Linked DNA regions of Tribolium castaneum. The protein of the gene in region 1 binds, or shares a complex with, the protein of each later gene. Links are inferred from orthologs where the notes say so. Each region holds a gene or a part of one and is shown in the gene's direction. Other genes may lie near its edges.

What was found.
Region 2: Mocs2B (region 1) and DNA polymerase epsilon subunit 3 share a complex: the UniProt entries of both Drosophila melanogaster proteins name them as parts of the ada2a-containing (ATAC) complex. The link is inferred for Tribolium castaneum from reciprocal best matches to the Drosophila melanogaster genes Mocs2B and Chrac-14.
Region 3: Mocs2B (region 1) and NC2beta share a complex: the UniProt entries of both Drosophila melanogaster proteins name them as parts of the ada2a-containing (ATAC) complex. The link is inferred for Tribolium castaneum from reciprocal best matches to the Drosophila melanogaster genes Mocs2B and NC2beta.

Annotation. Positions count from the first base shown.
Region 1 is NC_087396.1:21,505,640-21,509,499, forward strand, and holds Mocs2B (molybdopterin synthase catalytic subunit), read left to right. Parts: upstream 1-1,418; coding exon 1,419-1,663; intron 1,664-1,714; coding exon 1,715-1,896; intron 1,897-1,946; coding exon 1,947-2,204; intron 2,205-2,636; coding exon 2,637-2,854; intron 2,855-2,900; coding exon 2,901-3,011; 3' UTR 3,012-3,048; downstream 3,049-3,860. Other genes in the region: Wdr92 (dynein axonemal assembly factor 10), read right to left, coding at 1-122, 167-297, 340-623; Mocs2A (molybdopterin synthase sulfur carrier subunit), read left to right, coding at 1,152-1,409; JNK1/MAPK8-associated membrane protein, read right to left, coding at 3,049-3,335, 3,386-3,555, 3,605-3,817. UniProt on the Drosophila melanogaster protein: Catalytic subunit of the molybdopterin synthase complex, a complex that catalyzes the conversion of precursor Z into molybdopterin.
Region 2 is NC_087394.1:1,508,851-1,511,483, reverse strand, and holds DNA polymerase epsilon subunit 3, read left to right. Parts: upstream 1-1,486; 5' UTR 1,487-1,558; coding exon 1,559-1,829; intron 1,830-1,877; coding exon 1,878-1,987; 3' UTR 1,988-2,003; downstream 2,004-2,633. Other genes in the region: centrosome-associated protein 350-like, read right to left, coding at 1-1,137; E3 ubiquitin-protein ligase LRSAM1, read right to left, coding at 2,120-2,239, 2,291-2,514. UniProt on the Drosophila melanogaster protein: Accessory component of the DNA polymerase epsilon complex. Participates in DNA repair and in chromosomal DNA replication. Histone-like protein which promotes nucleosome sliding of ATP-dependent nucleosome remodeling complexes.
Region 3 is NC_087398.1:1,910,199-1,912,912, reverse strand, and holds NC2beta (protein Dr1), read left to right. Parts: upstream 1-1,404; 5' UTR 1,405-1,523; coding exon 1,524-1,764; intron 1,765-1,811; coding exon 1,812-2,083; 3' UTR 2,084-2,106; downstream 2,107-2,714. UniProt on the Drosophila melanogaster protein: Bifunctional basic transcription factor. Activates transcription of DPE (Downstream Promoter Element) containing promoters while repressing transcription of promoters which contain TATA elements.

The DNA of each region.
Region 1 (3,860 bases):
TTCGTTATTGTACGAGTTTCCGAAAGCTACGCTCCAACAATCGCGGCCTTGGGAGCCCTCGCTTTGGCAGAACTTGGCCACGGGGGTGTCTTTTTGCCGAATGTCCCACACCATGACAGCCCCTAAAAATGTTCGAGCAATGACTTTCAATAAAAAATTACAGTACCGTCTTTAGATCCGGTGGCTATTTCGGGGGCCCCGCACCCACTGGCAACCCCCGCAACTCCATCAATGGCGTTAATGACCCCGCGGTGCTTCTCCGTCTTATAAATCGGGATTAAATTCTCCTCCAAATCCCTACGAGACTTAAAAATTTTGGCCAACTTTTGGACGACTTACCAGACTTGTAACCGCCCGCTGAAGTCGCCAGTCGCAAGGTGGCGGTCTCTTAAACTCGAGGCGTGAAACGTGCCGCATTTAAAGTGGTCTTTCTTGCCGAATTCGGCCACTTTTTCGATCCCATCACCACTGATTGAGTAGGTCTCGATAATTCCAGCCCCGTTTGATTTGCCCCCGATTGAGACGAATTTCGCGGAACAGGGGATCCACTTGACGTCGTGGACGGTGTAGTTCAGGGCTTGCTGCACGTGGCAGATTATTTGGGGCCTTTGGAGCGACTCCATAACGTTTGATTGATCAAACAATTGTTGTCATAGCAAAGCGCATTTTCGGGGGCAATAATTGCCCAAGTTTAAATAAAACAAGCTGTTCTCGTTACGTTTTTAATTATTTTGTTTTTTTTTTTCACCCCCGTTATATCCTGCAATGTTCTTTATTTTTGCAGGAAATTAAGCCCTTCGTTAGGGCCTTCGACTGTAAAAAATCATGTTCGGACAAACAGCCATTGGGACCTTTTTTTACGGCTGTAAAAAAACAATTAGCAATACATTTAAGGATTGCTCTAATTAGTCAAATTATTAACTAATTTGTCCAGCAAATTAGGTTTAGAGCATTCTTGTCAGGAAAAAAGGAAACAGCTTCCAAAGCATTCGAAAAAAAGATTTTTAATTGCATTTTATTCGTAAGAAAGTGAGGTTAAAAATTTGACAACTTGCGCTCTAAATATGTCGTTTCAAATATAAACAGAGTAGTGATAAAAGTAATTATTTTGCTTCAATTCGGTGATTATGTAAGCGCAACAACACTATGATATGTTAGTGACCGTCAAAGTGTTGTTTTTCGCTAAATCGAGAGAAATCGTGGGCCAAAAATCCGCCGAACTTGACCTGCCGTCCCCCATCTCCTACAAAAAGCTTTTAGAAACACTCGTCGGCACGTATTTTTTGGCCGAAATTGCCCAAAACATTATTCTCTCCCTCAATGAGGAGTTTTGCGACGTGGAAAGTGTCGAAATTGTGTTAAAACAGGGCGACGAAGTAGCAATAATCCCACCTCTGAGTGGCGGTTAGGGCCCCAAAATGAATTTTTTGAAATTCACCGAAGACAAGCTAAGTGTTGAGGCGTTGACTGATCTAGTCGCCTCGCCGAAATGTGGCGCAGTCTCGGTTTTTATGGGGACCACCAGAGACAGTTTCGGGGAAAAAACCGTCCTTAAATTGGAGTACGAGGCGTACGAAGCCATGGCTTTGAAGTGTCTCGAAAAAGTGTGCGGGGAGATCAGGGCCAAGTGGCCTCAAGTCGAAAATATCGCAATCTATCACAGGTTTGAAAAATTTAAATTGGGGCCAAATTTTGATTTTTTTTTGTTTAACAGACTGGGGGTTGTGGGGGTCAAGGAGGCTAGCATTGTAATTGCAATCGCGTCCCCCCACCGTACCGAGGCGCTGCAAGCCACCGACTGGTGCATCAACAAGGTTAAAGAGAGTGTGCCTATTTGGAAAAAGGAGATTTACGCTGAAACTGAAACTCCTCCACAGTGGAAGGAAAATAAAGAATGTGGGTGGTCAAGTAAATAAAGTCTAAAATTGATTGGCTCTCATTTATAGCCCCCAAACCGAAAAAATTCAAGCTCGAAATCGAGCCCAAAGTCGAAATTCCCAACGTTTCGCCCCATTTGATTCAAATCAAGGCCTCAAACGCGGACTTGAGCAAACGAATCGAGAATTTTATGGAGATGAAGCGAAACGAAATCAACATAAGCAATGTGAGAGAGTTTTGCACAAGTAATCGAAGTTCAGAGTTCACTTGCGCCCGAGTCGATGCGGTTTTGCAAAAACGCAAAGACTCCAATGGCCATTTGCAAGGTTCGTGGCCCTTAAAAAATCACAATTTTACGATTTTTATTCCAATTTTTACAAGTCTGCTAAAAGTATACAACTGCACAGGGTTATTCTATTTGGCACCAGACATTTTTCATTAATGTTTAGAGAACACATTTTTATCTGAAAATAAAAAAATTAACGAAAAAATTAAGACTTTACGGACAGGACACAAATGTGCCGAGCATGACCTCCTTGATGTATGCAGACAACTTCGTTAAAAATAATACATCAAGGAGGCCATGGCGCCGAGTAAAAATTGACTGAAAAAAAAGAGCAAAGAAACTGCACGGTCAACACGAGAAATATATTTTTAACAGACTAACCCTCTATAAATTTAGCAAAAAATGTCGGGGAAAAGTGCTACTTTTCGGACGATTTTCGAAAAACAAGTATTTCAGACTAATTTTTTTGCAGTAAGTCGGGTTTTGAACACTTACCACCGCGACCAAACAAATTCGGACTACCTGACCAAATACATCCCCCAAAACGGCATTGAGGAGCGCCTCCAAAACCTGGAAATCCAACTCAGTTTGACCACCCCAACCCCGAAAAATATCTACACCCGTTTGAAGAAACTAGAAGACCGGATATTGTTCCTTGAAACGATTTCGCCCGAATATATCAATTTTTGGGTAAGCTTTTTGAGAGATTTCCCTCCCTTTTTAGTGAAATTTTTAGGACAAAAGCCACTTAAACAATAGATTTGTGAAGAAGAAGGTTTTCTCAGTTGAGGAAATCGATTCGCTAATTAGCGATTTGGAGCGGAAGGTTCAGGAGGAGAAAAAATAAATCTGTTTTTAGTTTATTATTATTATTAAAAAATAAATTACGTAAATATTGTCGGGTCGGTAAACCTGGCCGTGAAAATGTAAAAAAAAGCCGGCAGTGGGACCAACAGTAGCAACAATGAGTGAAAAGTCGGGTCACTAAGCTGAGTTATTGAAATTAAACCATAGGCGTGTAAACACCAATGGCCCACTAAGATTACCACATTTCTCGGGTCTACAACTGTTGTTATGATGAGTGAGGGAATCGATTGGTTGATTTTGAGGGCAAAGTGATAAGCACACGAAATAACTGACAAAATAACGACCAAAATTGGGAACGCATAATCTGGAACAAAACCAATCAAAAGTGTGATTTTTGGCGCAATCATTACGTACAAAGAAGTCCCCCAATTAGGGCATGGACCACCACCAAAATCGGTATATAGTACATGGCGGCATAAATCGACATTTTGCTCTGCCTTGGAAGGTATTTCCGGCAAACCCATGGCCTTATCAAAAGCATAACAATCAAAGTCAGGGCATAAAAAATAAAAACTAGCGTATACCTAAAACAAAAACACTCAATAAAGTAGTATAATCAATTAGTAGCCCTACAAGGGATACACAGCCTCCTGGGTACAATGCACCCTCTTCTCATAATCCGGGGCCGGATTATGCAACAAAGTGTACCAATCGGCCAAGCTGCGCACTCTGCAGTTCCGCACCTGGAACTCGCCGAACGGGTGCGTGAAAAGCACCGACAAGAGCCCCGAAATGACCACTTCCACCAGCGCAGTCAAGTGTAAAATTAGGACGTCTTTTTTGAAGCTACAACGAACAGTGAAGGTGTGACGGGCAATAGGGGGCTCAC
Region 2 (2,633 bases), on another chromosome or scaffold:
ATCAGAGAAATTTTTCGATACTTTTTTTTCAGTTAGGAGCGATTTAAATGAAACACTTTCTTTGTGAAAATCCGAACTGTAACTATCGTCACTTTTCTGCAACTTGTAGTTTTTCAATTTATCGAAATCGAGCTTTAGACTTTCACTCGAAATGTCGGGAATATTTTTCGAAGTATCCGACTCACTACCACTATCACAATTATTGAACAAATTTTTCGACACTTCTCTCAATTCTAAATTTTCCACAGGCTTCAAGTCGAGACATTTGTGCGAAACAAACGATCTCAACTCACTTTTGGCACTTTTAATCAACAGTTCTTTAATTTCTTCCCTCGATTTTGTTTCCAGGGGCGGAGTCCCGGAATTCTGCACCCCAATGTCGATAAAATTCCGGGGCGAATTCACAGCAAACTGCAATTTTCTCTTAACTGTGTTTATAAAATTGTACGGATACGCCGCACAAGGGGGCTCCAGCCAGGGCGCCCCCTTGTCGCACGTTTGCGTCTCTTTCGCCTCAGACGACGTTTTCGCCAATTTCTGGGGCTCCCGGGCCTTGGCCCTCGAAATTCTCTCGCTTTTTTGCGTCTTTTCGGAGCCCTCAGAAACTTTTTGTGCGGGCGACTTCGAGCGGTCGATTTTCGGGGGGCCCCCCTTGTCCTGTGACTTCGGGCGGTTGGTTCGGACAAGGGGGCCCCCTTTCTCCCGCGCCTTCGAGCGGTCGATCCGGACAGGGGGCTCGCCCTTGTCCCGCGATTTCGAGCGTTCGCGCTTCAACTGCACGTTTTTTGTCACCAGCTCGAGTGTTTTCTGGTGTAATTCTTTCAGTTTTTGCTTTTTCAGATCGAGTTTATTGTCAGTGGTGTTGATTTGGGCCCGCAATTGTTCGGCGCGTTTTTCCCGCTGTTTTTTGATGTAGTTACGCGCCTCGGTGACGTCATAACTGCGGGGCTTTTTCTCGGGATCGGGGGGCGCCTTTTTTTTAACGGTTTGGGTATCAGGGGCTGGCTTGTGGGTGGGGGGCTCAGGGGGCTGGGTCCCAAGACTTATGAGCTTCTCTAGCTCGGTTTTGAGCTGTTCGATCTCTTTTTTTGTGTTTTTTACACGAGTGCTGACATTTTCCACTTGGCTTATGGACATTTCTGAACCCCCTTTTTTTAGCGAATTACGACTGGAAATTGATTAGACTGACGTACAATTCACGAATTGACCCACATTTGTGTTAATTTAGGTGAGAAAATGCAAAATTAACTCACCTTTTTCACATATTTTCAAAACGTCAACCGTTTATAACATAACCTCAATAACCAAGGCCAACAAGGGTGAATAGTTCAAGGCCCCCCACCAAAACTGCAAAAAACAGCCCCTAAAATAAACCACCCCATTCGTCACGAGCCCCCCAAGCTTAATTAAACAAAAAACACAAATTTATAATTATTAGGTGACCAATAATAAACAAATTAATGATTTTTTAATCAAAATTCAAACATGGCGGTTGGCATTGCGCATGCGCGTTTTTTGTTTTTGGTGGGAAAAGTAATTTTGTGAATTTTGTGACCAAATGGCCGAAAAACTGGAAGATTTGAATTTGCCGAACATGACGGTGCAAAAGATAATTAAAGACGCATTGCCTGAACACGTCAGTGTTGGTAAAGACGCCCGTTCGGCCCTGTCAAGGGCCGCTTCAATTTTTGTCCTGTACATAACCTCACAAGCCACCAAAGAGGCGCAAAAAGTGAACAGAAAGACTCTTCTGGGTCAAGACATTCTAACAGCGTTAGAAGAGCTCGAGTTTGACGAATTCGTGGAGCCCTTAAGTGTGATGCTGAGAGGTTAGTTTTTTTTTGAGGTTATGTTCACGTTTCAAAAACCGACTTCAGATTTCAAAGAAGCGAAGCAGAAGAAGAAAGTGAAGAAGGGGGCCGACGTTGAAATGGCGGAAGACAACGACGAGGAGGCCGTGGAAGAGGAAGAAACGGGAGAATCGTAATAAAAAATAAATTTTTTGTGATAGTTTTTTATTCATGAGAAAAAGTAACAACTGACTAGATTAAGGCCACAAATCGTGCAGAATTCACACTTTAGCAACACTGAGCAAAAAAAGTGACGGCAGTTGAACGAACTATGAAATTATTCTAATTTTGCGTTCGATTGAAGTCCTGCACATTGGACAGTCGTTCAAGGTCACAGGACACTGGGAACAGCAACAGAAGTGTCCACATGGCACGAAAATCACCTCACACTGCAAAAAAAAAACACCAAAATTCGCCTTAATTTGAGATAAACAACATACAGTTGAGTCCAAACAAATGACGCATTCAGTCCCCAAATTTGCGACATTTTCGAGTGGTGGCGCACTTGCCTCTTCGATTGGCAGCACTGGAGCTGAGGGGGCCGTATCGGTCGGTATTTGCTCCTTTCGGTACATTTGGAATGCGTCTAAAATGTGGACCCGGTCCGATTTATTCACAATTCCCACTTCTTTGAGGTCGCTTTCTGTGATTTTTGCAACGTTGCCTGCAAATTGGTTAAAAATCGGGCCAAAGTAGGCACTGACTTTGAAATTTAGGTTGGCAACACTGACGGGCAAATAATTCGGCGTTGCCAACTTAAGCTCGATTTTAATAAAAGCGAAA
Region 3 (2,714 bases), on another chromosome or scaffold:
CATAATTTTATTTTTAAAAAACGTCTTTTTTATTGTTGAATTGGTGGTCAAAAGGGCATTATGTGACAAAACCGATTTCGGGGTGAAATGGGGCGAAAACTGCAATAGTGCATTTGCGGAGCTGGAAAACATAACAATTTTTAACATTGTTCCGACAACTAAAAGGCCATAATTTTATTTTTAAAAAACGTCTTTTTTATTGTTGAATTGGTGGTCAAAAGGGCATTGTGTGACAAAACCGATTTCGGGGTGAAATGGGGCGAAAACTGCAATAGTGCATTTGCGGAGCTGGAAAACATAACAATTTTTAACATTGTTCCGACAACTAAAAGGCCATAATTTTATTTTTAAAAAACGTCTTTTTTATTGTTGAATTGGTGGTCAAAAGGGCATTGTGTGACAAAACCGATTTCGGGGTGAAATGGGGCGAAAACTGCAATAATGCATTTGCGGAGCTGGAAAACATAACAATTTTTAACATTGTTCCGACAACTAAAAGGCCATAATTTTATTTTTAAAAAACGTCTTTTTTATTGTTGAATTGGTGGTCAAAAGGGCATTATGTGACAAAACCGATTTCGGGGTGAAATGGGGCGAAAACTGCAATAATGCATTTGCGGAGCTGGAAAACATAACAATTTTTAACATTGTTCCGACAACTAAAAGGCCATAATTTTATTTTTAAAAAACGTCTTTTTTATTGTTGAATTGGTGGTCAAAAGGGCATTATGTGACAAAACCGATTTCGGGGTGAAATGGGGCGAAAACTGCAATAGTGCATTTGCGGAGCTGGAAAACATAACAATTTTTAACATTGTTCCGACAACTAAAAGGCCATAATTTTATTTTTAAAAAACGTCTTTTTTATTGTTGAATTGGTGGTCAAAAGGGCATTGTGTGACAAAACCGATTTCGGGGTGAAATGGGGCGAAAACTGCAACAGTGCATTTGCGGAGCTGGGCAACATAACAATTTTTAACATTGTTCCGACAACTAAAAGGCCATAATTTTATTTTTAAAAAACGTCTTTTTTATTGTTGAATTAGTGGTCAAAAGGGCATTGTGTGACAAAACCGATTTCGGGGTGAAATGGGGCGAAAACTACAATAATGCATTTGCGGAGCCATAAATATTGAAATTAGGTGAAAAAGTGGGAAAAATTAAAAAGCAATTTGTGGTAAATAATTGAGTTTTTCGCTATTAGCATAGTGACTTTCTTAAAATGTCATTTTTAAGAGGGTGTTTAGTGTTTTTTCGGATTTTTATTTTATTAAACGGTTTCAAAGCTGACAACCAAACATACATCTAAGCAAACTGAAACTTATTTTGCTAGTCTGAAACTGGCTTCATGTTCGGGTCTCTTCGGAAATTCGAGGAGCTGGTTTTGGGAGCTGTCTTCACACAAATGACGATCTGTCATTTCGCGGACTCTAACAGCATTATCCTTGACATGTCAAATTGTTCCAGCTGTCCCTATTTGAGGTTAAATATCTCTTTTTTGTTGATAAATATAACAATTTACAATGTCTAATCAAAATAATGCTGGTGGTTTAACAAATACCGAAGACGATGAGCTGACTTTGCCTCGGGCTAGCATTAACAAAATGATAAAGGAGTTAGTCCCATCAGTTCGAGTTGCAAATGAAGCAAGGGAATTAATCCTCAACTGTTGTACGGAATTTATCCATTTGCTTAGTTCTGAAGCGAACGAAATATGTAATCGATTGGACAAAAAGACTATAAATGCGGAACACGTTTTGATGGGTATGTTTCATCATTGTTAAACAACACAAAAGTAAAGTTTTTCGCAGCTTTAGAAAAGTTGGGTTTTGGAGATTATCAAACCGAAGCTGAAGCTGTTCTTAAGGACTGTAAGGCTGTTGCAGCGAAACGCAGGCGACAGAGCACAAGGTTAGAAAATTTGGGAATACCAGAAGAGGAGTTGTTGAGACAACAGCAGGAGTTGTTCGCCAAGGCTAGGCAAGAGCAGGCTTTTGTGGAGCAACAGCAATGGGAGCAACTACAAGCTGCGGCACAAGCCCAAGCTTCGGCTCTACCAAACAATGATGATGATTACGAATGATTTATTAAACGCTTTAAATATTTTGTTATTGTTTTCATTTATTTTTTAATATCTTAGATTTAGGCTTTGTATCAACCACAAACATTCAATAAATAGTGACCCAACGTTTTTTACAAGAAAATTATTCATCTGCAATCTTATGCGTACGAAGTCTAAACAGGATAAAATAACCAATTTCCTAACGCTGAAAAACACTCATTATTACAGTCTTGGTAATGTAGTCCCTGTAAATAATTAAGTAATAAAAATAATTATTAAATAAATGGAAAAAAAACCTTTAAAACTAAGCGCCAACTAAGTGCCAACGTAACATGTTTGCCATGTTTTGATCTTGGCAACACTTTTTTCATTGAAATATCCCCAAGATAATGTCATTTTCTAATAGAAAAAAAGTTATTTAATTTCCATTTAGCACGTAACCGCAGAACAATTTTTATATTTAATACAAAAATAGTTTTTTTGATAAGCAAACTAGAGATACAAAAAGGCGCAAAGCTGCCGTACATTGAGGTTATGTGAATGAACTCGTGTAAGTAAATTCTCCAGATTTTTTCATCATTATCGCAAATAGTGCGCTTACCCAAGCATGATATTTTAGAATGTTGAAAAAAAAGTAAATAAGCAATAAATA